Daphnia pulex: one gene and its partner. The protein of the gene in region 2 purifies or fractionates together with the protein of the main gene of each other region. This does not show direct contact. Links are inferred from orthologs where the notes say so. Each region holds a gene or a part of one and is shown on either strand. Other genes may lie near its edges.

Region 1 (16,159 bases), on a different chromosome or scaffold from region 2:
CCGTGTAAACAGGTAACGTGTAACACGGTAGTATAGTTCCTTATGCCGTGACGATTTTTTTCTGTCACTTTATTTTTTTAGAAACGGTCGATTCTTTTTTTTTTTTTTTTGCATTTGTAATGATGTGTTAACGCCATTAGTGCCGCCCACCGGGCCAACGATAATGACGAAATTATAAGGTCATTAAACCTATACGAGAAAGGAAATGAATAAATGATGACAACTTTTGTCTTTCATTTGCATACGCGCCGGTGTGTGAATTATTGGAAAAGAAGAAAAAATCCAATCGTGTTTTTTTCTTCTTCTTCTTAAAAGTAAATTCATAATATTAGTAAAGTGACATTTATTAGTACGACTCTATTCGTGAAAGCTCGCTCGCCAGACACACACACAAAAAAAACACATTTCGCTCGTATTAAAGCGTTACGGACGTTACAACCGAAAATGGTGTTTTATGTTTTGTTGTCAACTTTTTTTTATTTTTTAGCGGCTTTTTTGGGGGGACCTCCGCCATCTGTACGAGGGTGTCGCTTCTTTCTTTTTTGAAAGAAGAAGAAAAAAAAACAGCGCAGATCTATGCCGGGCGTGCGCCCACTCTCTACGGAGAAGAGCCAATAATCGTTAAAAATGTCCAACTCTATAGTAGTAGTAGTAGGAGTAGTAGCAGCAGCTAGGAGGGGAGAGAAGATTTTTCGAGAGCAAATTGTCTGAAAAATTGAATAATACGCAGGCCGTTAAAGAGAGAGAGAAAGAGAAAGGTCCTTTTTCTTTGGGAGAGAAAGAATATTATTGCGACTTGAGCTATAAAATAATGGCGCGCGCGACCAGGTAGTTTCAAGATGCTGAATCCAAACAGACACCGATATATATATAGGCTAGATGTACTAGTACAATATAAGATGCTAGGTAGAAAAAAAAAGAAATAACACACAGAGCGAAAAAAAGGTTGTCAAGTAAAGTGAAACTTGTTTTTTTTTACCTTGTTGTTTTCGCCGACTGGAGATTTTTTTATATTGGATGTGTCTGCGCATCTTTCGGCCTTGATCGAAACGACTTTGTTTTTTGGCACGACCTGATTTTTTCTCTCTACGTTGTTTTTTTACGGGGGCTAACACGCAGACTGAATAATAAATTTATCTAGGTCTAAGGATCAAATGTTTTTTTTGGGCCGTTAATTCAAATTTTAAAAATTGATTTTTTTGTAGGTCAAATTATTTCTCAATTAATTTTCAATTTTTTTACCCAAAAAAATAGTTATTATTTGTTTCTGTAAATAATAATTTTTTTTTCAGCAGTTATTATATTTTTAGTTAAATAAATTCTTAGTGGCTTGTTTGAGTTGACACAAAGCTTGGCGGCATTCGATGCAAGTCTCATGTGTAAAATCCCGCCGTTTTGAAATATTTAGATCGAATATTATACTCTGCGGCGTAGTATATATACAGTCTGCGAGTAGACTTACGTCACCGGTGTATTTCGATATATACAAGGTAAAATAAGAAAAAAGAGCCGTCTGTAGATTTCAAATTGAATTGTGCAGTCGAGTGACTGCTGAGCAGAGCCGACAGTGATCCACAACGTCAATGAAGAGCGGCGGAAATCATTCCCCCAGCAATCCCCAGGCTCAACTATTCTACAGGCGAACCCATCATCTTCATTACTATCCAATTTCAATCTGAGAAGAAGAAGAAAAAAAATTTTTATTCATGACGCCATACCCGAAATTTTGTTTACCTTTTCCCAATCGCCCTACTTTTGTTATTTTTTCGCCCAGGCTCTACATAAACCAACGCGCAAAAAACAAAACAAAATCGAATCGGTGGTCACTTGTTTTATATGATGGGCCGACACAGAGCCGAAACGAAAAAAAAAACACAGAAAATTTAGGCCACAACAACACACATTATATTTAATGGTCGAAATTGTTATAAGATGAAAGTAAAAAAAAAGGCCGCGCTCGGTGGTGATCTTCATAAAAATCTTGTAGCTCGCTCAGCAGCGCTGGCGGTGTGTCTGCTGCCGAGCGCCAAACTCGCCATCGTCCATCGTAGGTGCAATAAAATTTTATACTATGGCGAAAGAGACTATGGCGTTAGTTTCGCGATGGCGGCTTCCCTTTTTGAACCGAAGACGGCGAATACACATAGGGGGGGCGCGCGCAAACCTTGCGAAATGGGTGGGAGGGCTATAATAATGTTTATGCGTGTGGCGAAATCGACTCGGATTTTTTAAGACCCCCAAAAAGGCAAAACACCGACACTTGTGTGTGTGTGTGCGGAGTTGCACTTTGCATCACCTTAGAGTGTGCAGACATGTTTGACATTGAAAAATTTTTATTTTTGGATGAGGGGAAGGGAATGAAGATCCATCCACCATTTTATTTTTATTTTAAAAAAAATGTGACGCAATTTTATTCCATCCGGTTTTTCTATATGGTTGAATTTGATTCTGTTATTGCCCACCTTGTAATGAAATTTTTATTTTATCAATTTTGTTTATTTTTTGTCACACAGGACGTCCATTTTATTTTATTTTTTATTCTATAGGGGCGCCAGCAGGAAATGGGAAAGAATATAAAAATCAGCGTCGTATACTAGACAGTACACACACACAATATCTGTACAGCACCGCCACCACCGCAATATAAAGTTTGGCCTACTTTAACAGGCTGTGGCGTCATCATTCGGCATATGTTCATCCCTAAGGGAAGGGGGGAGCCAGGTATATACTACTATGCCTATAATGTCTAACGACAGGTAGTTAGCCTATTGCGTCGGTGACATGTGCATCGTCGTCGTCGGCCTTTTTTTGGCCGCTCTCTCTCTCTATAGAGATTAAATTACGTTCTTCTTTCCATCCACCCCCCTTGGGTTCCTCCCCCCTCTTCACCCAATATCAAATTTGTATTTCCTCTTATAATAGAAAAGTAGGCCGTGAGAAAGTTGCGCTGACCTGTGAAAAAAAACAACTCAAAAATCCCCTCAAAAAAATTGCAATCGACCAAATTGTTCGAATTTGGATGATCAAAAAATTCAACACATTTATTGATCGCGCGTAGACAACGTCGCATTTCGACTTTATATGTACAGCACCGCGCTGTCTGTGCGCATTTGCCGTCTGATTTATTTCCACCGAAAAAATAGCTATTATACTTGTGTTGGTGGTACAGTATGTAGGGCTGTCTATAGGACCAGAAAAAGGTTCTTTATCCATCGGACGTAACCGAAGAAGAAGAAAGCGACCAACAAGAACTTTTTTCTTAGCTGTCGTATTGTAAAAAAAAGAAATAAGATTGGAGGGTTGACATTGCACCCTCCCTCCCAGCCAAAAAAACATATATACTGTGACCTGGAACCTTTTTTTTTCGGTCCCCTCCTTATGGCCCATGGAAAGTTTTTTTCTTTTACAACATCTTCTGCCCTCCTCATCCAGCAACCCTCCGGTGAGCCGGAGGGTGGACCAACTTGTGCCACACCACCACCACCACCACCGGGTTGGATGTTACAAAAGGAGCCATCCACCCGTTGATTGGCGTTCAGTTGCACAAGTGAAGCGATCGAAGAGAGACCTCTCTGCACGACTCTCTCTCTCTCAGTCTATTTTTTTTTTAGTTTGATTGAATCATTTTTAATTTTTATTTGGGGAAATTTTGAAATTGTTGAAGTGATCAAAGAAATGGGTGGAAGTCCGCAACAGCAGTACTGCCTCCGCTGGAATCAGCACCGTTCGAATTTATTAGGAGCATTTGATCATTTACTGCAGACGGAAGCGCTGACGGATGTGACCCTGTCGTGCGGAGGTGCTTCCATCAAGTGTCACCGGATCATTTTGGCCGCCTGCTCCGGTTACTTCCAGTCGCTCTTCGTCAACGACAACCTGTACCTTGGCTCGCCGCAGCAGCATCCCATCGTCGTCTTCAAAGACATCCAGCTGGCGGAATTGAAGGCCATTCTCGAGTTCATCTACCGGGGAGAGGTGAGCGTCGCTCAGGAGCAGGTCGGCGCTCTCCTCAAGGCCGCCGAATCGCTCAAAGTCAAGGGACTCTACTCCGAGGACAGCGCCGGAAGTCCGGCCGGATTGTCCGGTCTCAGCTTCGAGCCCACCTCCGGTCACGCCGCCAATTCCGGATTCCTTCCGCAAATTCACACTTTGCCGGCTGCAGCGGCGGTGGCCTCGCACATTCCTCCGGCTCCTCCGGTTGTCCAGCAGCAGCCTCAGCCGGTCGTTCAACACCTTCCGGCCAGTCTACTCCAGATGCCCCTCTTCAAACGTTCACCTGCCAAAACTCCCGAGGTACATTTCAACATTTGACAATTTTCTTTGAGCAAAAATTTCAATCGATTGAATTTCATTGACAGAGGACCAATAGCAGTTTAGATAAGGAAAGAGATGGATCGTCCAGTTCAGAAACCAATCCGCCTGAAGATGACCGTGAAGAGCCCATGGTATGAATCAAATGAATTCAAATTTCATTTTTATTTCCGTGATTAATTAAATTTGTTATTTGATTGCTTTTACAGGTGACTGATCGAATCAAATCCAACCATTCTCCCGTCTTCAATCACGTCAAAGGTAATGCATTTAATTACATTCTAAATGAAATTAAACTTAAATTGAATTTTTAAAAAATTCGATTTAGATTTGGCGCAAAGTTCTTCACTGTCCGAGTATCACGTCAATAACGGCAAAAGCAATAATGGCAACCGGCCGGAATTGAAGCGCTACCGACAGTACACCCGTCACGATATCGCTGCCGCCATCGAGGCCGTCCGTAGCGGGCAAAGTGCCTTGCAGGCATCGCGACTCTACGGCGTTCCGTCCCGCACTCTTTACGATAAGGTTCGTTTCTTCTGAACTTATTACGATTACAATCGTTGCGAAATTTCCCGTGTAAAATCCAACATTCCGTCATTTCCCTTTTGTTGTCTGCAGGTGAAGAAATTGGGAATCGTGACTGGCCGTCCGTACCGCCAATCCATCGCCGTTGCCGTTTCTTTAGCTCAAGGCGGAAATCTCTCATCCGCCGGATCTCCCGGATCGCGGATCAACGGCGGAGGCAACGACGACGACGACTCGATGGATGTCGTCCATCCGCACCACAACTTGCACCACCACCACAACGGCCACTTCCACCGCCGTCCCAACACACTGGAAGAGTTGAGCCTTTACTTTGCCGCTTCTCCGGCGGCGGCCGCTGCCGCCGCCGCCGAGCTGGCCCTCAGCCAGCACGTCCTGGCCGCCCAAACGGCCCGCGGTGTCGTGCCCCCGCAACCGCCGTCGACGACGGACGACGACGACAGCGGAACGGGAGGCTTCCATCCAGCGCCGATCGATTTGTCGCAAAACTACGAGCGGATGATGCGCAATCCATCCGGCGGCGGCGAGGTCGACCATCAGCCGCCGACGGTCTCGGTCCGAGACGTGGTCGCGGTAGACACGTCCAATAAAACCAGCGAATTGCTGCTGGTCGACAAAAGCGCTTGAAACGCCATCTCTCGGTGCTCCCAATTGCACTTCAACAAATGTCTCACACGTGTATACGAAAATAATAATAATAATAATTTAAAGTCAGGACAAACTTGTGTGAAAGATTTTTAAAATAACTCGGATAAACATTTTGGTGTGAGCCGATATACAGTAAAAAAAAAAATGAAATGTCGTAAATAATTTTTGTTTTTGACTCTCAGGAGACTGATTTTGATGATGTGAATTGACAATGTTTTTTTGCGTGTGATTTTATTCATTATTTTGTATGATCATCCATGTTGCGAGGTGCGTACCTGCATATTAATACCATGTCGACGTAACTACTACCTCTCACGAACTCTCGATATTGATGCTGTTCGCTCAACACAATTTTTAACGTATACGAATGAGTTCTTCCGCAGAATTAGTCACGATTCAAGAGTTGCAGATCTGTTTCTGTATAAAATTATATTTGCCCATTTTCTTATTATTTTTTGGTAACCTTTTTTCTCAATTTTTGTAATTTTTTTTGGCTGTTCCTCCTGATGCCAATACATGTTAATATGCCCATAACTAAATAACCAGCAGCCCCCGCGAGCGTCAGCCCGAGTTTTGATGAAAATCGATTTGCGTCCCACCAAGTTGGACGGCCGTGAGATGAGATTCTTTTCTCCCGAAAAATAAGAAAAAAAACCGGGTCTATTAGTATCTTAATGGCGTGCAGGGTTAACCATCGGCACAGCACAGCACAGCACAGCAGCTGCGCAGTAACGGGAATTGCATATCTTTAATCTGAAATGATGATGACTATATGCCTACACGACGATGTTGAGAGGGTCTTTTTCCCGTTCATTATTCACGTCACGTCGAACTTTGCTGACAGCCAGGGGTTCACCACTTATTGGGTTTTAGGGTGTACTAAGCAAAAATTTCTTTTGCTTACAATTTGCGTACTTTTGGATTAATTTTTGCGGACTGCTTAATTAGCATACTTTTTGTTTTTTTTGCTTCGGTTGCGTAATTTTTTTTGCTTCATTTGCATACTTTTTGCTTTATCGACGTAATATTTGCTTCATTTGCGTATTTTTTGGCATAATTTGCGTGCTTTTTTGGCGTCATTATATTTGCATACTTTTGGCCAACTTTAACCACGATAAGTTGTAAAAGTCATGAAAAACGAGTAAACTTGGATTCAATTCGATAAACTTAACTTGAGTTGTACTTTTTTTTACTTACTTATTTTCATATTTTGCTGAAAATGTTCATGTTTTACTTAGAAATTTGCATTTTTTGCTTAATTTGCATACTTCAAATTTGCTTAAAAATAACCTCTTTCGGGCAAGGTGTACCACAAAGTCACGAACATCATTTTTTAAATGGTGAACCTCCTTTCTCTTAGCCAATATTGTGCTGGCAGGGTTTTCAACAGATAGTAATGTCTATAAATATGAAATTCCATGTCCGCAGGGTTTTATTACAAGCAAATCTGAGGCTGAGCGGGAGGGATATTAAAATTCATCTGTTGATTTCGTAGTAATTGATTTTCGAAGTAATTTGGCATCGCTGTTTGAGTTATTTAAAAGTAGTCAAACAACAAGTCAACAACAAGTCATTTACTGTTGACAAGTCGATCAAGCCTGAAGCCGAATGCTCCGCTATTTTCACAAGATATCTATTGCAAGAAACGTTGTCGATAGCTGGGTTTTAAAACCAACTCATGTCAGACGTTTTGCGACTACAAGTCAAAGAATGAACAAACCCAAGGTTCTCGTCACTCGTGGGGACATACCCAAAAGCGCCATCAGTATACTAGAAGAAAAGTATACCTATATTGGCATTGTGGTTGTTAATTTTACATTTTGTATGTTTATTTCTTGCTAGGTGTGAAGTAGAATTGATGCCAGATCATTCCCCGATTTCCAGAATTGACATCCTGAACAAGATTTCTGGAAAGGATGGTCTTTTCTGCTTGCTTACCGATAAGATAGACCATGAAGTCTTAGAAAAAGCAGGTAATGAAGTTGAATTGAGTTAATGCTTCTAATATTGTAAATGTTTCAGTTTAGGTCCACAGCTGAAAGTCATTGGGACAATGTCTGTCGGTTATGACCATTTGGACATGAACGAAATTAAAAAAAGAAAGATATCTGTGGGCTATACCCCCAACGTACTTACCGCTGCCACAGCTGAATTAACTGTTGCGTTAACGTTAGCCACCACAAGGAGGCTATTTGAAGCCCATGATGAAATCACAAAGTATTGAAAGCAAAAGTTTTATTTACTTTGTTCAAAGTCTGCTTAAAAGATTTATTTATGTGTAAACAGTGGTGGGTGGGCCAAATGTGCTTGGGGACCTTTGTGGATGTGTGGAGGTGGACTAGTTGGAGCCAAAGTAGGAATTGTTGGACTAGGTAGTATTGGTCTGGCTGTGGCCAAACGATTGCTACCCTTTGACATAGCAAAGATCATGTACTGTGGAAGGCAAGAGAAACCTGAAGGTATGAACTCCACTTTCTCTCATTCATTCAATCAAGTGAAAATATTTAAATACGCTTATCTCCCAATCTCTATTTAGCTGCTCAAGTGTCTGGAGAATACGTGACATTTGACCATCTTCTCAGTGAATCTGACGTGGTTATCATCACCTGCCCTTTGAACGATACGACAAGAAATATGTTTGGCCCAGCTCAGTTTGCCTCAATGAAATCGAACTCTGTACTGATAAACACCAGCCGAGGAGGTTATTTGCATTAGTTTCGTATATGGAGAACGTACTTGAAACAATGTCATTTCAATATCTTTAATTCTTATGTATTTGTACGCTTGACAGGTGTCGTGGATCAAAGTGCTTTGGTGCATGCTCTGAAAACGGGACAGATAACAGCCGCAGGACTTGACGTGATGACACCCGAGCCTTTACCAGTGGACCATGAACTGACACAACTCAAAAATTGCGGTAGCCAATCATTCGTGTATTATTCCATTGATAACACTACCACTAAATATCTTAATGTCTCTATAAATTTTCTTTTCTTTTTCGATCATCTTAGTGCTGATCCCACACATTGGAAGCGCGACACTACAAACGAGAACTACTATGGCAACGATGACTGCGCAAAACATTGTCAATGCATTGGAGGGAAAACCCATGCCGGCCCAGTTATGTTAAAAGCAAAAGTGAGAGAGGAGTAACAGAAAAAAACAATTAGGTAACATTTCAAAACGCCACGGGGTTAGTATATAAACGAATGAATATGTAAATGCAAAAACATAAATGATAGGAACCAAACAGCCTCTCTTAAAAGGGTGGAAAACCTTCCTTGTTTTTAATAACCTTAAAAGAAAAGAGAATATAAGAGAAATATATTCATATAACGTAAACCGATGCTATTCGATTAATTCAGCGGCTCAGATTGCTTCAACATTTCTCTGATCTGAGTCTCCCACAAGTGAAGTCGTTTCTCTTTATGAGCCAGCTCCTGTTCTTTCTCTTCCAACATTTTAGCCCACCGCTGCAGATGTGATTCCTTTAGAAACAACTCGGTGACGATCGCGGACGCCCCATGGATTCAATGACGTTCTTGATAATAGGAGATGGCATGGGGCTGGCATGAAGAACGCTTGATGTGGCTTTGGGATAGGCTGTTCCATTCTCAATGGATTGGATGTCCACGTCATCGATGTAAGTCGCCGAAGCTTCCTGGTCACTCATCATCGATAGGTACTGATTGAGGGACAGGTCGGAGCAGTCGGCGATCGAGACTTCCAATGTATCTTCAGCAATGACGGTAAGGTTTTCTTTAGACGAGATGGGGAAATCAGTTTCCAATACTCTTTTTAGTCGTCTACTCTCCTTCCACCTCCTTTCCTTGCTATAATTATTGAGTGATGGAGAACCATGAGAGGAGAAGGCCTCGTTTCCTCGTCTGGAGTCAAAATAAATCGTAGAATGGAGAACAGGTCGCGGGAATAAATCTTTGGAATTTACTTTTCTGCAGCAACACCTAAAGTTTGAAAACAATAGTCGATCAAGCCTGATGCCGATCGAATGCTCCGCTATTTTAGCAAGATGTTATGCTATTGCACGAAATGCTGTCGATATCTGGGTTTTGAAAGCCAACTCACGTCACACGTTTTACGATAGTCAAAGAATGAACAAACCCAAGGTTCTCGTCACTCGTGGGGACATACTCAAAAGCGCCATCAGTATACTAGAAGAAAAGTATACCTACAGTATATTGCCCTTGTGGTTGTTTATTTCACATGTTTTATGTTGTTTAATTTCTTGCTAGGTGTGAAGTAGAATTGATGCCAGATCATTCCCCGATTTCCAGAATTGATCTTCTGAACAAGATTTCTGGAAAGAATGGACTTTTCTGCTTGATTACTGACAAGGTAGACCATGAAGTCTTAGAAAGAGCAGGTAATGAAATTGAATCATGCTGTTAACGCTCATAATAATTAAATATCTCAATTTAGGTCCACAGCTGAAAGTCATAGGAACAATGTCTGTCGGTTATGACCATTTGGACATAAACGAAATCAAAAAAAGAAAGATATCCGTGGGCTATACCCCCAACGTCCATACCGCTTCCACAGCTGAGTTAACTGTTGCGTTAACATTAGCCACTACAAGGAGGCTGTTTGAAGCCCGTGATGAAATCATAAAGTATTGAAATCAAATATTTTTTTTTTTACTTTGCTGTTCAAAATTTACTTTGAAGACTGTTTTATATGTGAACAGTGGTGGGTGGGCCAAAAGTGCTTGGGGACCTTTATGGATGTGTGGAGGTGGACTAGTTGGAGCCAAAGTAGGAATTGTTGGACTGGGTAGTATTGGTCTGGCTGTGGCCAAACGATTGCTACCCTTTGACATAGCAAAGATCATGTACTGTGGAAGGCAAGAGAAACCTGAAGGTATGAACTCCACTTTCTCTCATTCATTCAATCTAAATTAAATCCTAGTATCTATTTAGCTGCTCAGGTGTCTGGAAAATACGTGACATTTGACCATCTTATTAAAGAATCTGACGTGGTTATCATTACCTGCCCTTTGAACGATACGACAAGAAATATGTTTGGCCCAGCTCAGTTTGCCTCAATGAAATCGAACGCTGTACTGATAAACACCAGCCGAGGAGGTTATTTGCATTAGTTTCGTAAATGGAGAACGTACTTGAAACAATGTCATTTTAATTCTTATGTATTTGTACGCTTGACAGGTGTCGTGGATCAAAGTGCTTTGGTGCATGCTCTGAAAACGGGACAGATAACAGCCGCAGGACTTGACGTGATGACACCCGAGCCTTTACCAGTGGACCATGAACTGACACAACTCAAAAATTGCGGTAGCCAATCATTCGTGTATTATTCCATTGATAACGCTACACTAAATATCTTAATGTCTCTATAAATTTTCTTTCCTTTTTCGATCATCTTAGTGCTGATCTCACACATTGGAAGCGCGACACTACAAACGAGAACTACTATGGCAACGATGACTGCGCAAAACATTGTCAATGCATTGGAGGGAAAGCCCATGCCGGCCCAGTTATGTTAAAAGTGACAGAGGAGACAAAAAAAAAGAAAAAAAAAACTATTAGGTAACATTTCAAAACGCTAGGAGGTTAGTATATAAATGATTGAGTATGTAAATGCATAAACATAAATGATAGGAACTAAACAGCCTCTTTAAAATGGGTGGAAAACTGTCCTTGTTTTGAATAACCTTAAAATAAAAAGAAAGGGGGAAATATATTCATTTAACGTAAACCGGGCAAATTATGCGACTTGAGCTTAGCTCGCAATTCGTTCGATAAAATTTTGGAATCATTATTTTTGATGCTGGTTGGACGGGTAGGAAGTGGAGGGCCTTTTGTGGACGGGTCATATCTCAGACTCCCGCCGTGGTTCTCCTTGTCGGCTTTCAATAGGTGTGATGGCATTTCGAATTTGTTTCTTGGCTCACTCGACTTGCCCGTTCGAGTTTTCGTAGCTGCAATAGGGATGGATTTTTCCTCCATGAAAATGTAATCCGTTTCGAGTTTGGGTGGGCCACTCATTTTAGGTGGCAGAGGTGGTGGTGGTGGTGATGATTGCGCAAGGTGATGTTTCTTCCTCTTCATCTCAAGCCAGTGGAGTCGCTGTTCGGCAAACATTTTGGAAGCCGCTTCGCTCCTGGCCTGGCCACCACTGTCGTCGTCGGATCGCTGGAAACGAACTTGCCGGCCTGCCTGATACCGTGTGAAAGGATTCGTTATTTTGGAAGGGTCCATTCGCACTGTAGTCGGCTCCAAAACGGAATCTCCGGGGTAGGCGCTGATTGTACTGTCCATGTCAGTCTCTACTCCACTGCTTTCGTTGGTCAGGTGTGGTTGAGCATAGGAATTCTGACTGCTGCTATTCGACTGATTCAGCGGCCCAGATTGCTTCAACATTTCTCTGATCTGAGTCTCCCACAAGTGAAGTCGCTTCTCTTTATGGGCCAGCTCCTGTTCTTTTTCTTCCAACATTTTAGCCCACCGCTGCAAATGCGATTCCGTTAGAAACAACTCGGTGGCTTTTCGAGACATTTGCGAATTATCGGCTGACGATCGCGGACGCCCCATGGATCCACTGAAGTTCTTGGTAATAGGAGATGGCATGGGGCTGGCATGGAGAACGCTTGATGTGGCTTTGGGATAGGCTGTTCCATTCTCAATGGATTGGATGTCCACGTCATCGATGTACGTCGCCGAAGCTTCCTGGTCACTCATCATCGATAGGTACTGATTGAGGGACAGGTCGGAGCAGTCGGCGATCGAGACTTCCAATGTATCTTCAGCAATGACGGTAAGGTTTTCTTTAGACGAGAGGGGGAAATCAGTTTCCAGTACTCCGTTCCTTCCGTCTACTCTCTTTCCACCTCCTTTCCTCGCTTTAATTATTGGGTGATGGAGAACCATGAGAGGAGAAGGCCTCGTTTCCTCGTCTGGAGTCAAAATAAATCGTAGAATGGAGAACAGGTCGCGGGAATAAATCTTTGGAATGCTCCCAAATCTAAACGAAACAAAGTAAAATGGGTTAGAGATCGTAGGAAAACGTAACTAGTTAAGAGAATAACGTACTTCCAATCTGTGATTTGATTTTTAGAGTCGTTTTCTACTCTAAACGGCGTCTTCAATGTACACATTTCGTGGACGATGCATCCCATCGACCAAACATCAGATTTTTCATTGCACAATCCCAAATTTTGTAGCTCCTTAATAATAGGTTAAGAAATAATCATGAGTATTTGCTCTTGCAAGAAAAATGGAATGCATATACTGTGTGTACTCACAGGGCACATGTAGTAGGGTTTAGATATGAGACCAAGTCCGAAATCTCCAATCTTGATATTGTGTGTTTGAAAGTTGAAGTATACACTTGATGGCCTCAAGCAGCGGTGAAAGATTTGGCTTCTGTATGGGTCTTGCACTAGAGAAAGCGAGTGTAAAGCTTGGGAAAACTGTAACAAAACCGTCCAAACCAAATCTTCTTTAATAAATGTCTTTGACCTGTGATATATGATTTAGCAATTAGCATGCAAAGCACACATTATAAAAAAAATATTTACTCAATTACCTTCTGTGATAATCAATCAATGTCTGCAAACTGTCACTGCCACCACATTCAGTTATTAGATACAGAGTAGAAGATCTCCTTTCAACGATGGCATCTTCGTGGTGGATAATGTTTGGATGCCTTAATTTCTTCAGTGTGTTGATTTCATATATCACCATCTTAATTTTTTTTTATGTGTTAGCAAGCAAACACAGAAATTAAGTAAAGATAACCAATTATTACCTCTTTCAGTGCATCATCCATAGATTTGTAATTTATTTCGCGTCGTTCAAACAAGCGACCGTCAGATCGAGATATTTTGTGGCGTACACCAAATTTGCTGTCGTTTAACGTTTCTAAAACTTGATAGTCATCCATTTTGGAAGTCATCTTTGAGATTTGCACAATGCCCAAAAGCGGGAAAAATAGGCGAAATCGATTGTAATTCAGAAGTTTGACTAAATACAGCGATTTGACAGCTTGTAGGCAAACTGACTTGCTACTCTGAAAGCTTGTTTAAAAAAACAAAAGTTGACGGTTAGAGGCCAATGCAGAAGAGATTGCAGTGGCGCCAAGAAAGCGAAGCCATGAAGCCATAGAACGCTATCATTTATTATTTTTTCTAACGGTTTTTCTTTTGTCTTCACTCTTCACTAATCATTTTTCTAATAATAAAAAAAAAATTATTTTTGGTAATAATAAATAATTTTTTTTTTTTTATTTTTTAAATAAAAGGTCAGTTTTTATTTTTGTGTCGGCTGCTAGTGGCTACAGTTGGTTCTGTTGTTCTAACGTGAACATTTTCTCTGGTTTTTCGCTGCCTATTTTCATTATAAGATGCCAACTTTTTCACAACTGATAACGCTGAATGCAGCAGTTGAGAGATTGCGAAAGATTGAATTCATTTCTAAACAACTGAAAACCTCTGAGGTACTAACGTTCATTATCAGCTAGAGTCCTTCCAAGAATCCGAGATGAAAAAATTCGTCGAAATATGAAGGTATTAAGATATTGTTTTGTTTATAATTCGTGCAACTACTTTCATATTGTGTTAATACGGAAGTTTGGAATGGTTTTGCGAATCGTTTATCTCATTCGGAGAAGTTGTTACTGTAGAGGCAATTGCGAGTTGGTAACGCTACACTTCGAATCGTTTATTCGTTTAGCAACCTCCCATTAAAACAGCCTTAAAGTTATGACATAATTGTTTTAGGTACTTGCGAGATAACTTGAATGTTGATTAATTGGCTAAGAGAAACATTATCTTTTTTGTCACACGTAGTTTGCAATCGTTTATCGATTGTTAAAATTCACTGGAAGCTCTGAACGCAAGAAGGATAAAACGCGCGTTTACATCACGTGTTTTAAAGCTGTTGGTTATCCAGGTTGCGGTTGCCATTGTTTCCTATAGGAGTAATGAAAAAAAAAATTGTTTCACTTTTTCAAACAAGCCTCAGCAAACAAATAAGAACAATTCTAATTTCAGATTCAACGTTTTGATCTCAACCTAGAGAAAAGTTTGCGTTCGCGCGTTTTATACTCTTTCCTGCGTTCAGTGCTGCATTCAACCATTTTATTTTGAAACCTCGGCCCCGCTTTTTTTCGATGACTATTAGACTGCAAAATTTGTCGTCCAGCTGGAACGCCAGTATTCTCAGTGGGAACAGCGGAAAGAACATTAATCGTATTTGGCTGTTGCAGCGTCGAGTCTTTTCGGATGGACGAAATTTCATTAAATTTTTTCAATCTGAAATGTATCAATTTCTACTAATATTCTTGCGTGTTTTTTGCGAAATTAAAAGAAGTATATTTAATTTTTAAAAATATATTGTACCAAATAACAAAACTGGATTACCTTTTCTCTCATAGAATTTGCAGATGTTTTGGTGACACTTTGCGGCTTGCGTTCCCGATGCCATTGATTATTCTACGCCGTTCTCCAAATACGCTAGCAGCCTATTGGCGGAGATATCTTCCAGATGGTTCGACACATCCGCGTTTAGACATGCAAATACTTGGCTGCTATTCAAATAATACGGTATTTATGCTTACCCTTTACCAATTTAAAATCGTTTTGAGTTGGTCAGCGCGTTCATTGAAGTGCCACTGGGTCAACTGTTGAAAGAGTGAACTCGGAGAAGAAGCTCTTTGACCTGCGTTCACTATTTTCCACAAGTTTATTTTTTTTTTAATATCGTGATTCGTGATGACTTTGCTGCAATGGTAAAAAGAGCGTCAACGCTTTTGCCATCATCATACTTTTCTCAAAGTTGAGATCGAGCACATTTTCAGCGGTTAGTTTGCCTTTGAATTTAAGCAAAGTTCTTCGACTTCGGTAATTCAATCGGTTCTTTCTCTCATGAGTAATACGGGAGGGCAGACAATTATAATTAATAGGTTCTTTTTAGCATATCCGTGTTCGTGTCAAAATGGTGACTTGCGTCAGTTGCGCCCTGCGACAAATTTAAATTGATTCACATCATAAAAACATTTTTATTTCCAGTTGAAACAAACGAACAATGTTTAAAAATTAGGCAGATCCTTGTTTTTGGCTGACTTTCATCGTCCAATAGAAAATGCTGCGAACTAACAAGATCATGGCGACGAGAAACAATCCGACGTAACCGGCGTACATGACTCCTTTCGAAGTTTGCTCCACGTAGATAGCTCCGTACGCTACACCGGCAGCCAGGGCAATAAACATGGTGCTCAAAATCAGGAAAACGATGGCCCATTTCCTAGCGAGTTTGGGTCCACCGATGGACGTCATGTTCTTGCAATGAAAATGAGGGCACCGCACCAATACGCCAGCCGGATCTGCTGGCTGGTCAGTCCGGAATGGGTTGGAACAATAGGCGCAGGTGAAGAGCGTACTGGGGATGGCGTTGTGGGCCTTTAAAGTAACGAGATGAGTGGTCCTCTTGCAGCTGGATCGTGGGCAGACAATCTTAAGAGCCGATTCCCTGCAGATGATCAGACAGTTGCATGGACAGCGGACGTATTTCTTTCCGGCCGGAGCGGGTCGTATGGGTATGCCTTCGTGGCACTTTGAGCACTGGAAAACACTTTGATCGTTCGTGTCGAAAATGTTGATTTCGCTTCCGCACACTGT
Region 2 (16,755 bases):
GGAGCATTAGGGTTTTATACATAGCGCCAAGCCTTGCACGCGGAGCAATAAAGCGCGATGGACAATTATGGGAAAATCTGAAGGACACACGTACCCTCTGTGTTTCGCATCCATAGACAAGACGAAACCAAAACATGTTCACTTTCTACATATTAGGTTACTAACCTTTACCGTTTTTCCAAGGGAAATATATCGGGCAACTTTCGAATAGCTCGCGCTGGAAAATATAAGAACCTACTAAATGTCACGTGATTCCGTAGATCCTGTTCCATTTTTTCAAAGTCGCTCCTCCCCTTTTTCAGACGACATAGCAGACGCAGCACAAGGTCATTTGAAAAATCACGGAGAGACTCGCAATATGCCTTCATGAATTTGTATTTTGCTCTGTAAACTTAAACATGGTGTAGTATGTTCTGATTGGCGATTAAAACTTTCTATTGCCGGTTTGTTGGCGGATGAACGAAACGGAAAATAATATTAAAACTTAAAGATGGAGAATGACGGGAAGATCGGAATATAAGGCACAACAACTTGGAATGAGAATCTACAGCAATTAGCTCATTCCCACTTTTACGCTCGAGCAGCAGCAACTCCATCTAGACTGTCTGAATCTTTGTTCGTGTACGATTCCATTGGCGGACAGGTGCAGACCAGATTACGATCGCCGTAAATATCGTCGATACGTCCAACTCTCGGCCACATTTTCGTTTCGGGACGCACAAAAGGCTGTAGAAAACAATGGAAAATGAATATCAAATTTATTCGAGATGGAAAAGTGGAAATTTACCGCAGGGAAGGCAGCCAGTTCCCGGGAATAGGGTCGATCCCATGTGCTGTTGATGATCTGCTCCTGTGTGTGTGGGCTCATTTTAAGAGGATTACGCACTGGATCCATTACACCCTTTTCAATCTGGTGAATTTCATGCCGGATGCGGATGAGAGCTTCGCAAAGTCTGTCCATCTCGTCCTTATCTTCTGATTCAGTTGGTTCAATCATCAGCGATCCTGCAACTGGGAAGCTCATCGTTGGAGCATGGAAACCTGTAACCGAACAAGAATAAGTTGTCTGGATGAAATGATTTTGCAAGCTGGTATCGTACCATAGTCCATTAGACGCTTGGCAATATCGACAGCTTCGATGTTGGCAGTTCGTTTGAAATCCTTGACGTCAATAATGAATTCGTGGGCCACCCAGCCACTTTGATTGGTAAACAAGATCTTGTAGTGGGGCTCCAAAATGCGGCTCATGTAGTTGGCCGAAAGGATGGCAACTTGGGTAGCTTCTTTCAAACCTCGGGCACCCATCATCTAATTAATAACAAAATTTAATTCAATGCCTTTTAATAAAGGTAATCTTGAATAATCACCTTAATGTAAGACCAAGAGATGGGCAGAATGAGGGGTGAACCAAACGGAGCTGCACTGACAACACCAAACGACTGGGAAGACTGTCCATTAAGAGGATCAATTACTGGATGTGTTGGCAAGAAAGGTGCCAAATGTTTCTTCCTACACGATGAAATTAAATTTGAAATGACTTGGGGATATCAAGGAAAACTCAAAATTTTAATTACACTCCGATGGGTCCCATTCCAGGTCCGCCACCACCGTGCGGGATGCAAAACGTCTTGTGAAGGTTCAAGTGAGAGACATCCGAGCCAAAGTCGCCGGGTCGGCAAAGGGCTACCTGGGCGTTCATATTGGCACCGTCCATGTAAACTTGACCACCTCGTTGATGAATGACGTCACAAATTTCAACTATTTTTTCCTCGAAAACACCATAGGTCGACGGGTATGTGATCATCAAGCAGGCCAATCTATCTTTGTACTTTTCGGCCTGGAATTGGAAAATTATTTTGTCAAAAAATGTTCCATCGAGTTTACAGATCTACAGGTAGAAATACCTTTGCTTTCAATTGAGCCAAGTCAATGCTACCAGCCTTGTCCGTATTAATGGGTTCGACCATGAATCCGGCCATTTGAGCCGAAGCTGGATTTGTTCCATGGGCGGACACGGGAATCAGGCAGACGTTTCGCTGTTTTTGATCGATGGAATCCAGGTACGCCTTAATAGCGCGCAGTCCTGAGTACTCTCCCTGAGCTCCACTGTTTGAATCAATTTCAAATGAATGAAGACGAGTTATTGAAAGTAATTTTGATTGAATTACCTGTTTGACTGAAAGGAAATATTGTCGTAGCCAGTGATATCGCACAAATCAGCTTCCAACTCTTTAAACATTTGATGATAACCGCCGACCTGGCTGACGGGGGCGAATGGATGGATATTGCCAAATTCAGGCATACTGGACGGCAACATTTCAGTGGCACTGTTTAATTTCATCGTGCAAGAACCCTAAAAGAAAATAAGAATATGCATAAATAAGAGGAAACACAATTGTAAACAGAAAACAAATTACCAAAGCAATCATAGAGTGAACTAATGAAATGTCTTTGTTTTCCAGGGATTTCATGTAGCGCATAATCTGCGTCTCTGAGTGATGTGAGTTGAAGACGGGCTGAGTCAAGTAAGAGCTGGTCCTCTTCCACTCGGACTGTTCCAAACTGGACGAAAGAATATCTGGTCGCTGAGACACCTGAAAAAAATGATTTCATTATACTCACATCCAATTAACTGATAAATATGTCAAGTCTTACTTGTTCGGCTGTTACATCGACATTAAAAATGGCGAAAATATCATTAATATCTTTCTCGCGAACAGTTTCGTCAATGGAGATACCAATCTAAAAAAAATAATTAAAAGTTAATTGAATCAACCGAAATAAATAATTCAACAATTAGTACATCTCCATCGGGAAAATAGCGCAAATTGATCTCTTGCGCCTCTGCACGTGCTCTAATATCTTGGACGGGTAAAGACGGTTGAATTTTGAGCGTATCAAAGAATTGGCTATTCCGCACTACGTGACCGCCAGACTCCAAACCTGTTCCAATGAAACGTCACTTTTTAGATCCACTTTGACTCGTTTCCAACTTTGTTAAATCCGTACCTTTGGCACAGACAACAGTTGAGTGATGAATTCGTTGAGCAATCTTTTGCAAGCCGGCAGGACCATGGTAAACTGCGTACCTGAAAACAAATGAATAATTCAATTGTACTGCTACGTGCCGATGGAAAGGGAATAAAATTACATGGCAGCCATGTTGGCAAGTAAAGCTTGAGCTGTACAAATGTTGCTAGTGGCTTTATCACGGCGAATGTGTTGCTCGCGTGTCTGCAGGGCTAGGCGGTAAGCGTCTTTACCATCGACGTCTCTCGAGACGCCCACCATTCGGCCGGGCATAATTCGAACCAGGTTGTTTTTGCAGGCAAAGAAGGCCGCATGCGGTCCTCCGTAACCGAGAGGAACACCAAAGCGCTGGCTGTTGCCCACAGCGACATCGGCACCGATTTCTCCTGGTGACTTCATCATTGTGAGTGCCATTAAATCTGTAGCACAGCAAACTAGGGCCTGCAATAAATATGATTATACATTAAAGAAAATAGCGAATATTTGATTTGTTATTCATGACGTTTACCCCTGCGGCGTGGGTCTTGTCGATGAGGTTTTGAAAATTTTGAACCGAGCCATGAGTATCGGGATACTGGAAAAGAACGGCCGAAATATCTTTTTCAACTTCAGTCACGGTGCTGAAATCGACGATTTTGACTTTTAAACCCATGGCAGAACAACGGGTCTCAACGCAGGCAGTTGTCTGTGGATGGAGTTTATCCGAGACTAGAAATACTTTTCTCTTGTTAGATCTAATATAAACAGATATTATGATTGTTGATTTTCATTAGACGTCAGAATTATATCATACCGGCTACACATGGCGAGGGCCTCAGCTGCCGCTGTGCCTTCGTCGAGTAGTGAAGCATTAGCCACATCTAGGCCTGTCATATCAGCAATCATAGTCTGGTAATTGAACAAGCTCTGTAAACGTCCTTGAGCAATTTCTGGCTGGTATGGAGTATATTGGGTATACCTGCATTCCACAAAGAGAATGAAAACAAAAGTTAAAGTTTGTTATGTAAAATGGAGACTTACCATCCAGGGTTTTCAAATAGATTTCGTAGAATAGGGTGAGGAACATGGCAATTGTAGTATCCCATGCCAATGAATGAGCGCCAAACTTTGTTTTGCTTTGCCAACTCCTGCACTCTTTCCATCAGCTGGTATTCATCTAGCACAAGGTTAACTCATAAACACACATTTTTGTATAAATCTTATTATTGTTACCTAATGGTTCTGTCAGGTTAAGGTCCCTTCCCAACTCAATACCTTGTGGGAGCGCATTCTGGGTAAGTGTGTCCAAATCCTATTTGTTCGTTGTCAATCAAAACAGTTATTAATACAATAACCTTCATAGATAAGAGGATCAAAATATATATCAAACAAACAGATATGTCACAATATTGGCCTATCAGTGTTGTTCTAAACGTGATTCAACGTGATTCTTAACAACATGCTAGACGTCTGTAAAGTTTAGGATTAATCCGCGGGTCCAGTGTCTACGCATTCCAAGTTTCAAGGCTTTCAAATGCCAAGACTAAACAAAATCTGTTCCCTATTATTTTTGAAGGCCTAACAATTCTCAAGGACGAAATGTATGGGCACTGCTATTTGCGGAAGGACGAATGTGATGGAAAAAGAAAACGTTTCAAACGGATGGAGCAGACGACTGTAGAACAAAAACAAGGAAAAACAAAAGACTAACGAAATTTGGGCTACTAGTAAAATAGAAACTTGTTTCGAATTTCAAAGAATTACATTCACCACACACAATACTTGTAAAAATAGGTGAAATGTACCTTGCACCCAACTACTTGAAGCATTTGTTGCTTCTGGGCTTCATTGGGTCCAATATGTCGACTTTTGAATGCCTGCCGAGCGGGCACGACGCGGTCGAAATGCGTTCCGCAAATCCGCTGCGCAGTATTAAGACTTCTCGAGCTGGTGCGGATGCATTCTTTCAGAGGACCCACCACTCTCAATAGATTCTGCATCTTTAAGGCCAATTATTACACAACGTGAGTCAAATGAAACAACACCGCAGGGCACTGTTACAGCACTATGGGAGACTGTGCAAGTAACACCTCACCACGACGAGCGCACGAAACGAAATGAGCGAATCGAGAGGTTTGCATTCGACTTTTTCAGTGCGGACGAAACGGGCGACTTTGACCTGGTTGTGTGTGTGTGTACATAGGAAATGTGGGGGTATAGGCAATAAGGTGGAGGGGGGGAGATATGTACATAAGCGAAACTGATCCCGAACCAGCGCGAAGCGGTTTTTCAAAGCTCATTTGGCGCCCTTGGGCTTCAGTCCATGGCCAATCCGCACGCGGATCCTTTCACTGCCATCAACTGCTGGGCATTATTTCGACTCGGCTAATTTTATTTTGTTGACGTATAGGTAACTGCCCAACTGCGATGTTGGCCAGAAAACATTGAACTGAAACGCATTTAACGATCGAATCTACCAAAGTTACATAATACAATCATTTTGTAAAAATCAAAACGCTAAATTTGTTACAGACCCAGACATAAGTTGACACTTGGTCGAAATAGATTTAGGCTAGCGATAATTCAGTGCAAACAAATAAGTGTCAAAACGGATTTGTCCAAAGTATAGTTTTTTTTTCCTTTTCAAGGACAAATGTCGTATGTTAAAAGATAAGGTGCAAAGTGCCGGGAACAATTCCTATACGTACCAGTGCGTGTAGATTGGCTTCAGCGTCAGTCGTGGTGCAACTTGTACCGAAGGTCTACCTCTCAGCCGAGAGATAAATACGTACGTATGATCTGAATTAGGTTTTCCCTATCATCACATCGGGACTAGTATAGACAGTTCACGCAGTATCACAAAGATTGCCTGTTTTATTAGACAAAGCAGCTAGCCACTCGGCAAATATTAAATTTTAATGATAACAGGAGAGATTCCAATTTCAACAACAACAACAACACTTTCTATAGACTATTAATTCATATCTTACCCAAAATCCAACACGAAACAAACAAAAACTAGAGCGCTGACTAAGAATAACTGCAGCTCGATTGCTCGGCAAGTTGTTGATTAAAAACGGCGTTATTATTACGTAATAACTGTGGGCTCGTCTCTGCCGGTCAGCTCCCGCAACTTGGAAATTCGAAGCGCGATCTGAACAAGTGGTTTCAACATGACCTAAATTCAATACGGCATTTATCTTTAAAAGCTTCAGGGTTACATCAATCAATGTCAATATGGTATACCTGGGCGTCAAGCAGATATTTATCAGCATCGGACTCGTAGCTATCGATGTAAAGGCGGACAGTAGCCCCTGAGCTTCCAGTGCCGCTCAGGCGAATGACAATACGCGATCCATCTTGGAAAATGATCCGCAATCCCTTTAGGATCAAAATGAATTAATACTGACATTTTTATTTCCGTTAAAGACATTTGTAGTACCTGTTTGGAGGAGAGGCTACCATCGATGGGATCGGTATAAGAAAAGTTATCGGCCAGGGCCACCGTAAAAGATTTGCCATCGAATTCGTGAACAGAACCGATGAACGAGGGTTCGTTCATGAGTGCCTCAAGGTCGGCCATCATTTTGTTGCAGGGCTCGGAATCACAATTTTCGTAATCGTATCTAAAAGGTCAATTCAATGTCATAAGTAACGTTACATAAATGTGTTACGTAACCTCTAATTCACCTCGTGAAGAAGTTTCGCCCGTACAAAGTCCAGTGGTCTTTTAGAATTTGTTCGACTGTTTGTTTCCTGGTGGCCAGAATAGACAACCAGGCAAGAACCGCCCATATTCCATCTTTTTCTCGAATATGATCTGAGCCAGTTCTATTAAAATTGCAGATATGAAATATTTTCATAAATAAAATTCGAATGTACTAAAATTTACCCAAAACTTTCTTCGCCGCAAAGCGACAGTTGTCCGGCATCCATCAGATTGCCAAAGTATTTCCAGCCGGTGGGGACTTCGTAGATACTTTTCTGCAATTTGACGGCAACCCTAATAAAAAATTATTTAGTTAAAACAAATTCAGTGGTCCAATAATGTAATTAATACCTATCGACAGCGGCACCAGTAGGCATGCTTCTGGCAAATCCTCTAACTCCAGTTTTACGGAAGTAAGGAATACAATCCATATTGTTGGCGATGACTGCTAAAGAGTCGGAAGGGGTGACGAAGAAGGCTTTCTCACCCAAAATCATGTTTCGATCCTTCATTTAAATACACACATTGAAATATTGAGTTAAGTTTAAGAGTTAATGAAAGTTAATTACTCCATCTCCATCAAAAGCGGCTCCAAGTCCGAAATCGCCTTCTTTCATAGCTTGAACCAAGTCGGCGGCGTAAGTAAGATTCGGGTCAGGATGATGTCCTCCAAAATCTTCCAGGGGAATAACATTTACGACACTTTGTGCGCTAGCTCCAAGCTCTTCGCAAAATATGCGGCTGACATAAGGACCGGTCACTAAAAAAACAGTGGTCAGCCAAATGGTGTCGTATTTAAAGACTTTTTCAAAGATCAATACCTCCGTGCATTGAATTGATCAACACTTTCAGAGGGGTTTGACCTGTTCCACAAATAAGGTTTTTGATAGAACCAAAATCAAAGATTTCTTTCATCAACTCCAAATAATCGTTGACAGAGTCTACGACTTCAACTGTAAATGGGTGGCCTTCAATCTACAAAGAGTGGAACATGGTATGAAATTTTGAATGACATCACTAATTTTAGCTTTCTTACATCAAATTGCTGAGTTCCAATGGTCTTAATATCACATTTCAGGTCTGGTACTGTAGAATATTCCTTGATTCCAGTAGAAAGCTCATAGATTTTGTTGGTTACACCATCAGGTGCAGGCCCACCGTTGGAGGTGTTAAACTTGATGCCGAAATCGGCATCAGGACCACCTGGATTGTGACTGGCAGTGAGCAAAATTCCACCGTTGGTCTTATACTTGCGAATCATGCAAGAGACTGCAGGAGTAGAAAGAATTCCGTTCTGCCCAACAATCAGCTTGGATACCTGTAATGACATCACATTAGAACCATATTTTTAAAACGGAATAACAAGGATCTGTACCTTATTGGCAGCACAAATGCGGACAATGATCTCGACTGCTTGGTGCAAGAAATATCGTCCATCTCCACCAAGTACCAGAGTCGAACCGGTTAGAGCCTCACCAAGTCCTCCAGTTAACAACGACTGAATAAAATTTTCCGTGTAATGTGGCTGAGAAAATACTTTAACCGCTTTTCTTAGGCCGCTAGTGCCAGGTTTTTGGCCTTCAAATGGCGTTGTAGGTACTTTTATTGGACTCAACATCTTAGTTTTTCTCCCGTAGTTACAGCACAAGAGACTGAGACTAGAACTTTTTGACGGACAAGTCAATGATACGTCGTCTGTTTTGACCTTGTACGTGTTTGCGGTCGCACTGTTGGAAATGGAACTCTTGTTGGCGGTGTCGACCGTTCAACTTCCAAGATTGAGATAAGAGATGACACCTTTGTTGTTGCTAGTTCGTCCTTATATTTCACACTGCCGTATAATACAGCATTTTGGTATTTCAATAGTTGGTTTAGGGTTGAGTAGGGTAGGGAACAATAGATTGAATGGGAAGAGAGGGTAAAATTGGGGCCCTCTGTTGAGGTCCCTACAAATTACACAGAATTAACAATAGCAATAATGTCGATCACTGTTGGGATGCAATAAATTCCCAACACACTCCCCAGTAGAGCCCGTTCAATTGGCTCGACATCCTGATCGACTTGATATCCGTTGGATTGGAGATCTGAAAATGCGGTTGAAGATGGATGGCCTGGATTAAGAGGAGCTGTTTCGTTGACTGGCTACGGATTCAGTTAATTGTCCATTCCATTTGATTCCGATTGAGAGTTGGCTGACTCTTTGGAAGTTTGCCACCAGGATCCCATACCGATTGGTGTGTGTTGGAATCTTCTTCAATGTCCTTTAACACAAGAATATTTTTTAGTAGATGTGAAACGATTTTGTTTGGTACCTGGGTTAACGAATAAGAGAACAGCAACTGGTTGATGAGATGTTCTTCTATACTTGGTAACCTTGAGATGCGTTTAGGAGCTGGTTTTACTGGCTCCAAGCGCTTCCGTTTCATTGAGTTTTGTTGATTGGCCAATTCCGGAAGAATTGCTGCTTGACTGCACGGCGATCTGAACTTCGGAATGATTTCTTGGTTGCTTTCTACGTTTGTTGAATTGACAAATGCAGCGGCTTCTTGAGGATTTTCTTTCGAAGCTTCCTGGATTTCTGGCGACGATGATAAATTTCCAGAAGAAGAGAAGTTGGTTTGTTTAAGTTGACTCGGAAAAGAGTTAAGTGTTTCCAGCGATGCAGCTGGCCTTCCCGAGGGGAAAAAAAGAAAGGTAGGAATATCCTTTTCTTTGGAGCCGGCTGGCGGAATCCTAATAATTGAATCTTTAGTTTTTAGACAATTGAATGTGTCAGGAACTTCTGCTTGATAAGTAGGAGTTTCTTGATGACTAAGAGAGTGAGGAGCTTCTGCCGGATTGGCTGGAGCTTTTTGAAGATTGAGAGTACCAGGAGCTTCTGCCGGAGTAGCTGGAGCTTCTAGAATAATGAGAGGACGAGGAGCTTCTGCCGGAGTAGCTGGAGCTTCTTGAATAATGAGTGTGCAAGCAGTTTTTTCGTTGCTAGAGGAGCTCAAGAGATTTTTGGACTCCACTGCATCTACACCATCTAAGTTTGCAAATTTGAGGTTAGTTGCTTTCAGCTCGTCTTCAAACCTTTTTTCGTCTTTGTTTCCACTGGATTTGACCGGAATATCTGAGATTGATAGCCCTTTTTTTGGTCGTTGTTGGAGACTGGCTGTTCCAGGCTCCTTTTCCATCGGGACTTCTTTTGACTGGGCTGATTTGACGTTTTGGTCGCTGTAGCAACTTTTCGCGTTCGATGATGGGATTTTTTCTGCTCCTTCCAGATTTGCTGAGTTTTCTAACTTTGAAACAAAGGAATTATTTTCTTTTATTTCGTTCCTTTCAAACCTTTTTTTGTCGGGATATCCGTCTGGCCCATCCGGAGAATCCGAGAGTGAGTCTCCTTTTTTCGGTGGGTGAGGGAGACTGGCCGTTCCAGTCTCTTTTTCTTCCGTCTGGATATTTTCTTTTGACTGGTATGAAGGGGTGTTTTGAAAACTACAGCTTGTTGTCGTAAGCGACGACACTTCTAGTGGAGTTGGGTTTGGCACTAATACTGCTGCAAATTGAGATGTTGAGAGGGTTTTGAGAATTGACTCTATTACTGGATTTGTTTGAGAAGCTGGCTCCTGAGAAGCTGTTGGTGATAAGTTGACATCTCCTGGAGCGACGGGCACTGAAAAGGCTGTTGAGATGGCTGCGATCACCTGACTGATTATGTCCCGATTGAGTTGTGCTTGGGTTGCTGCCTGGTTTGCTGCCTGGGTTGCTGCCTGATGTTGGAGAATTTGGAGCATTCTTTCTCTGTCCTTCTCCCATTCTTCGTCATCTGCTTCCTTTTCGAGTTTGTCTAACCATTCTCTTCGTTTTTTCTTTAAGATGTGAATTTTGGCGACAATAACATCGTCCATTGTTTGGTACATGGTGTCGATGTCTGCATTGATCTCTTCTTGGTCTTCGCCTTCTTTGTACATTTCAGCCTGGACCCTTTTTGAGAATATCTCATAAGTTTTGTAGAATCCATCTAGCTTTTTTTCTAATTTTTCGACTTCGATAAACGCTTCCAACGTCATTTCTGTTGATTTGTACGTTTCGACGAGGTTAATGATACGGGTGATATGCTTTTTAATTAAAGTTCTTGCGTAATTTGGAGCCATTGTGAGTTGGAGGTGGCTCCTAAGGAGCTGCTGAGAGTACGAAAAGAAGATAATTAGTTTAAATTAATGTTTTGATTAAGTTGATTAGCCTTTTTGTTTGTTGTTCTGCTCGGTCTTCGGAGATTCGTGGTGCCGAATTAAATTCTGCTGTCTTTTCCACTTTCTTTGAATTCCTTTATGTGAAGATATCTGCAAAAACTGAATGATTTTGGAGCTAGGGTAATTTTCTAGCTCCTTACAATCCCACAAACGGCATAATAACAATTTTTAGGAAAGAGAATTTAAAGAGTTTTTGCCGCAAGACGGCGGTTTCTAATTCCCAATTTTGTGCTCAGAGGGCGCTTTGTGCCTTCTCAGAAAAAGAGAAAGATTTCCCTTTAAGCAAACAAAAAATGCAAGAGCGTAAGAGCGCGAGATTTGTTTCGAAATGGCGGAAGGCCTTTGTAAATAGAGAGAGAGAAAAAAAATTCAAGTTTTAATCACCCTAAGGCGCACACGAGGCGAACGCGTTGAAAGGGTAGAGAATTTTCCCGCGTTTTTTCCAGTTTAAAGGGGAAACCGGCCTAGCCCCCCAAAAAAGAGAATATTTTTCTGTCGTATTTAGAGAGATCGTTGTGCCTTCTGAGACAGAGAGAGATTTACCCAAATGATTGAATAACAAACAATGCAAATTAATTCAAAAAATGAGAGAGATTTGTTTTCGGGAAATGGTCTAAGGCCATAGCAAAGAGAGCGATAATTTATTTAAGTCTTTTCACCCTGGGGCTCACACGAGGCGAACTCATTGAAGGGTTAGAGAAGTTCCCGCGTTTTCCCAATCTAAGAGGTAGGGAAGCAAGCCCCCCCAAAAAAAAATTCTTGAAAGGAAAGAGATTCCCGCGTTATCCCATTTTTAAAGAACGGGCAGTGAACCCAATCAGCTGAGATTCGTTTTTACAATGCCGGGAGGCGTATCAAGAGATAGAGAGGGAATTTAACCTAAGGCTCACACGAGGTGAACACGTTAAAGAGGTAGGGAAGTTCCCAAGTTTGCCCAATCTTAGATATTGGAAAGCAATATCCCCCCAAAAAAAAAAAATTTGTTGAAAGGGAAGAGAGAATAATCAACTTAGGCGATGATAATTTACGTGACAAAAAAAGAAATCCCCCTTCAAAAATGATTTAGGAATCCTATTTTAATTTTAAGAAACTTTGAGGAAATATTTTAGCTTTAATTCAAGAGAGAGAAGAAAAATAATTTACTGTTTAGAGGGATCTATTTGCTTACTAGACCCCTGAGAACAAGTTAAACTCAGAGAGAGAGAAAAAGATTCTAATAAATGACTGACCTGCCATAATTAAACACAATTTTCTTTGATAAATGGCGGCAATGATTAAGCAAAAGGAGATAACGAGAGAAAGATTTGAGTGTGATAGAGCGAAACTAACTTAACACTGGTTGGAGAAAACTCCAGTTCGAAGGACCATGTTGGAAATGGAACTCTTGTTGGCGGTGTCGACCGTTCAACTTCCAAGATTGAGATAAGAGATGACACCTTTGTTGTTGCTAGTTCGTCCTTATATTTCACACTGCCGTATAATACAGCATTTTGGTATTTCAATAGTTGGTTTAGGGTTGAGTAGGGTAGGGAACAATAGATTGAATGGGAAGAGAGGGTAAAATTGGGGCCCTCTGTTGAGGTCCCTACAAATTACACAGAATTAACAATAGCAATAATGTCGATCACTGTTGGGATGCAATAAATTCCCAACACGCACGACAATTTCACGTCCGCCAATTTTCATCAAGATAATAACTGATGTATTTTTCTTATCAATTTTTAAAAATTCTACGTTAAATATTTTTCCAACAAAATGAAAATAAGCTGCAGTATTTTTTTCGAATTAATCCAGTCTGGCATCGTGACGTTGTTTAAACGCTTTTGTCGTCTGCTACACATTGATGATGCGGTGGTCTTGACAAAAAGTGCGAAGTTTCTTATGTGATAGCTCATTTCGGATATTATTAAAGGAAAACAAAAGGTAATTAGACGTGAAAAAATTACTAGCAAAACTATAAATGTTCTTGCAACGTGTTTTTACTATTGGGGTGACATTAAAATACCTCATGTTTGATTTAATCGCCAAAAGCTTCTAGAACATAGTCTTCAACTTTGTGAACCATTGGGGCCTATTTTGTTTAGAAAATAACTTGATTGAAGTTTTTAAATTCTTGTCACTAAATTCGTTTTACATGCTGTAGTATATTCAAACTAGATAGGGAAAATTAATTGATTGACACTTAAGGATCTGTAGTTTAACAGTTTATTATCATCTTTTTCGTTTCACCTGTTTAAAACAGCTGTTGATTATTTACAGAATAATCAGAAATGGTCAACGAGGATCGAAGAGACGTTCGCGACGACCGAGATCGCCGCAATAAAGATAGAGAAGGTGATCGAGAGCGAGAAAACAAAGATCGCGAGCGAGAACGTGACAACAAAGATCGTGAAAGGGATCGAGATAACAACAAAGATCGTGACCGTGGCAATAATCGAGACAACAAAGATCTTGCCAGAGATCGTGATCGTGAGAGAAGAGAACGCGAAAGGAAAAGATCACGCAGTCGCTCTCGTAGCCGTGATCGAACAGCAAGACGACGTAGATCCAGATCCAGGTAATGAAATTAACCTTAATTATATTTGTCCATTGATTCATTTGTTTTTGTTAATTAGGTCACCAAGGGACCGTCGAGATCGTAAAGATGTGAAAACCGAACAAGATGCAAAAGACCAGGAAGCAAGTGAAGAAAACACTGAACAGCAAGCGATTAAAAAGGAGCCCCTGTCGCTGGAAGAATTGCTGGCCAAAAAGAAAGCCGAAGAAGAGGAAAAGAGCAAACCCAAGTTTCTCACGAAAGAAGAACGTGCAGCCGAAGCTATGCGAAAGCGACAGGAGGAAGTTGAAAATCTACGCAAACAGCAAGAAGAGGAAAGATCAAAACGGAATGCCTTTTTTCAGGTTTGTATTCATATCCTACATTATTTGTTATTTTAGATTTAACACGACATCTTTTAAAATTGATTTTAGGCGGCTAAAGAGACCAACAGGGAACCAGAACGCGATCGTCGACGTGATCGAGAAAGGGAGCGCGAAAAGGAGACCAAAGATCGTAAAGATGGTGAAACAGACCGCGATAAGCAAAAGGAGATGGATGCCATCAAGGATCGTTACCTGGGCATGGCCAAGAAAAAGCGACGTGTCCGCAGGCTGAACGAACGTAAATTCGTTTTCGAATGGGATGCGGCAGAAGACACTGCCGTCGACTACAACCCAATCTACAAGGAAAGACATCAGGTAAGAAGACCCTTGATATAAATTTTAAAAGGTGAAATTCTAACGTTTTCTTTATTTTGTTGATTAGGTCCAATTTTACGGTCGTGGTCATGTGGCCGGAATTGACATCAAAGCCCAGAAGAAAGACCAGTCGAAATTCTATGGTGACATGTTGGACAAACGCCGGACAGACACTGAAAAGGCCCAGGAGAAGGTCCGTTTGAAGAAGGAACAAAGACGAGAAGACAAGCAGAAATGGGACGACCGTCACTGGCAAGAGAAAAAGGTCGAAGAAATGACTGAGCGTGATTGGCGTATCTTCCGAGAAGATTACAACATCACCATTAAAGGTATGTTACCTAAACTTGTTGATTAATTAATATGTTTAACTTAATGTCTTTTGGTTTTTTTAAGGTGGCAAAATTCCTAATCCGTACCGTTCGTGGGCTGATTCTGATCTCAACAAGGAAACTTTGGAGATTATCGAAAAAGTTGGATACATTGATCCTACTCCCATCCAGCGTCAAGCCATTCCCATTGGTACGTTGCCAATAATTACTTATCTGTTTGAAAAAGTAAACTTATTTCACGTGAATTTTTTTCAGGATTAAAGAACCGAGATATTATCGGTGTGGCTGAAACAGGATCAGGAAAAACCGCCGCATTCTTAATCCCCTTACTCGTATGGATTCAGTCGCTTCCCAAGAACGTCCGCCTGGGTGACGATGATTCGGGACCCTACGCCATCATTTTGGCTCCTACTCGTGAGTTGGCTCAGCAGATCGAAGAAGAATGCATCAAATTCGGTCAGCATTTGGGCATCCGAACGGTTGCCGTCATCGGTGGTCTATCCAGGGAGGAGCAAGGCTTCAGACTGCGAATGGGTTGCGAGGTAATTTCTCTTATCCTATCCCAGTTTATTCATTTCATTGACTTTTTTACTTTTAACAGATCGTGATTGCCACTCCCGGTCGTCTGATTGACGTTTTGGAGAACAGATACTTGGTGCTGTCACAGTGCACGTACATTGTGCTGGACGAAGCTGATCGCATGATTGACATGGGTTTCGAACCCGACGTGCAAAAGATTCTGGAACACATGCCAGTCACAAATCAGAAGCCGGACAACGACGACGCTGAAGACGAGCAAAAGCTGATGGCCAATTTCAATTCCAAGAATAAATTCCGACAGGTATTGGTTTGGTTAATTCTAAACGTCAGACTGGTTTATTTACCTCATTTTTTATTTCCTTTTTGCAGACTGTTATGTTTACGGCAACCATGCCTTCGGCGGTGGAGCGATTGGCTCGAACTTACCTGAGACGTCCGGCTGTGGTCTACATCGGCTCGGCCGGCAAACCTGTGGAACGGACGGAGCAAATCGTCTACATGGTTGAAGAGAACGCCAAGCGCAACAAGTTGATGGAAATTCTGCGCCGCGGAAAACTCGAACCTCCCATCATCATTTTCGTCAACCAAAAGAAGGGAGCAGATGTACTGGCCAAGGGCCTGGAGAAATTTGGCGTAAGGCATTTTAATTTAAAAATTTTGTCTAGTTGAATTCATTTAAGGTGTTTATTTATTCTTTCGACAGTTCAATGCTTGTACTCTGCACGGTGGTAAGGGTCAGGAGCAGCGTGAATTTGCCCTTTCCAACTTGAAGTCAGGAGCCAAGGATATCCTGGTGGCCACAGACGTTGCCGGCCGTGGTATCGACATTAAGGATGTCTCGTTGGTCATCAACTACGACATGGCCAAAACGATCGAGGATTACACGCATCGTATCGGTCGTACCGGGCGAGCCGGCAAGCATGGAACAGCCATCTCCTTCTGTACCAAGGATGATTCGCCACTCTTTTACGACTTGAAGGCTCTTCTTCTATCCAGTCCCGTGTCGACGTGTCCTCCGGAATTGGCCAACCATCCAGACGCTCAACACAAACCCGGAACTGTTGTCCAGCGCAGACGAAAAGACGAGAAGATTTTCGCTTAGATTTTCTTTTAGTTTATGTCTCGTCGTGCGTTCAACTCCATTTTTAATGATTCTGAATTTTCCTTGAAAATAAAATAAAATCATTTCTGCTCCAACATGAATTTTATTTCTATTTTTGCAGCGATTTTGAGCATGACTTATGAAGGGGGTCACTTTAAGAGGTTTATGGAAAAGGTTTCGGAGAAATAGAGTACGGAAGTGATTGTCAAACGTCGATGAAAAGAGGGAGCCTCATTCACAAGAATTCAGCGTCGTACAATAATCGTCAAGATAAGTACAGTTGTATTCAAGCAGTTAAGCCTTAACAACAATAGTAGAAGTTATTCACTCTTTGTCCATGTCTAGGAGAAGATGGCCTCTGCTAATCTAACCAACGGTAAGTTACAATTTCAAAATCTTAAAAGAGAATAGAGGCGCGAGAGTTTAGAGAGATTGCACGATTGTATTGCTTAACTAAATTGTTGAATTGTTATTGTTGAAAAGAAACAATAACTAGCCTAATATTTTAATCAATTAATTAGGATAGGAAAGTTCAAGTCTTATAATTCTTAGTTTTATTTCATTATTGAACTTTGCAGACAACGACGA

Evidence for each region.
Region 1: the proteins of phosphoglucomutase-1-like (region 2) and glyoxylate reductase/hydroxypyruvate reductase-like fractionate together in Homo sapiens (co-fractionation; 3 studies listed by BioGRID). This does not show direct contact. The link is inferred for Daphnia pulex from reciprocal best matches to the Homo sapiens genes PGM1 and GRHPR.

What each region holds. Positions count from the first base shown.
Region 1 is NC_060026.1:2,642,525-2,658,683, forward strand, and holds glyoxylate reductase/hydroxypyruvate reductase-like, read left to right. Parts: upstream 1-9,488; 5' UTR 9,489-9,503; coding exon 9,504-9,688; intron 9,689-9,758; coding exon 9,759-9,889; intron 9,890-9,945; coding exon 9,946-10,135; intron 10,136-10,210; coding exon 10,211-10,383; intron 10,384-10,442; coding exon 10,443-10,607; intron 10,608-10,688; coding exon 10,689-10,814; exon of another isoform or gene 10,815-10,907; coding exon 10,908-11,026; 3' UTR 11,027-11,093; downstream 11,094-16,159. Other genes in the region: uncharacterized protein LOC124205165, read left to right, coding at 2,691-2,721, 3,665-4,293, 4,359-4,445, 4,521-4,572, 4,640-4,839, 4,933-5,484; probable serine/threonine-protein kinase nek2, read right to left, coding at 11,229-12,504, 12,573-12,706, 12,785-13,001, 13,069-13,226, 13,291-13,437. UniProt on the Homo sapiens protein: Enzyme with hydroxy-pyruvate reductase, glyoxylate reductase and D-glycerate dehydrogenase enzymatic activities. Reduces hydroxypyruvate to D-glycerate, glyoxylate to glycolate, oxidizes D-glycerate to hydroxypyruvate.
Region 2 is NC_060019.1:343,976-360,730, forward strand, and holds phosphoglucomutase-1-like, read right to left. Parts: upstream 8,441-16,755; 5' UTR 8,337-8,440; coding exon 8,094-8,336; intron 8,037-8,093; coding exon 7,755-8,036; intron 7,694-7,754; coding exon 7,540-7,693; intron 7,479-7,539; coding exon 7,288-7,478; intron 7,225-7,287; coding exon 7,070-7,224; intron 7,013-7,069; coding exon 6,902-7,012; intron 6,841-6,901; coding exon 6,700-6,840; intron 6,636-6,699; coding exon 6,452-6,635; intron 6,391-6,451; coding exon 6,256-6,390; intron 6,188-6,255; coding exon 6,098-6,187; 3' UTR 5,866-6,097; downstream 1-5,865. Other genes in the region: glycine dehydrogenase (decarboxylating), mitochondrial-like, read right to left, coding at 571-726, 788-1,041, 1,101-1,308, 1,368-1,509, 1,575-1,837, 1,905-2,106, 2,169-2,353, 2,418-2,594 and 9 more; probable ATP-dependent RNA helicase DDX23, read left to right, coding at 13,230-13,516, 13,575-13,860, 13,930-14,196, 14,264-14,525, 14,590-14,715, 14,781-15,067, 15,127-15,366, 15,435-15,698 and 1 more; uncharacterized protein LOC124190729, read left to right, coding at 16,519-16,543, 16,746-16,755. UniProt on the Homo sapiens protein: Catalyzes the reversible isomerization of alpha-D-glucose 1-phosphate to alpha-D-glucose 6-phosphate. The mechanism proceeds via the intermediate compound alpha-D-glucose 1,6-bisphosphate.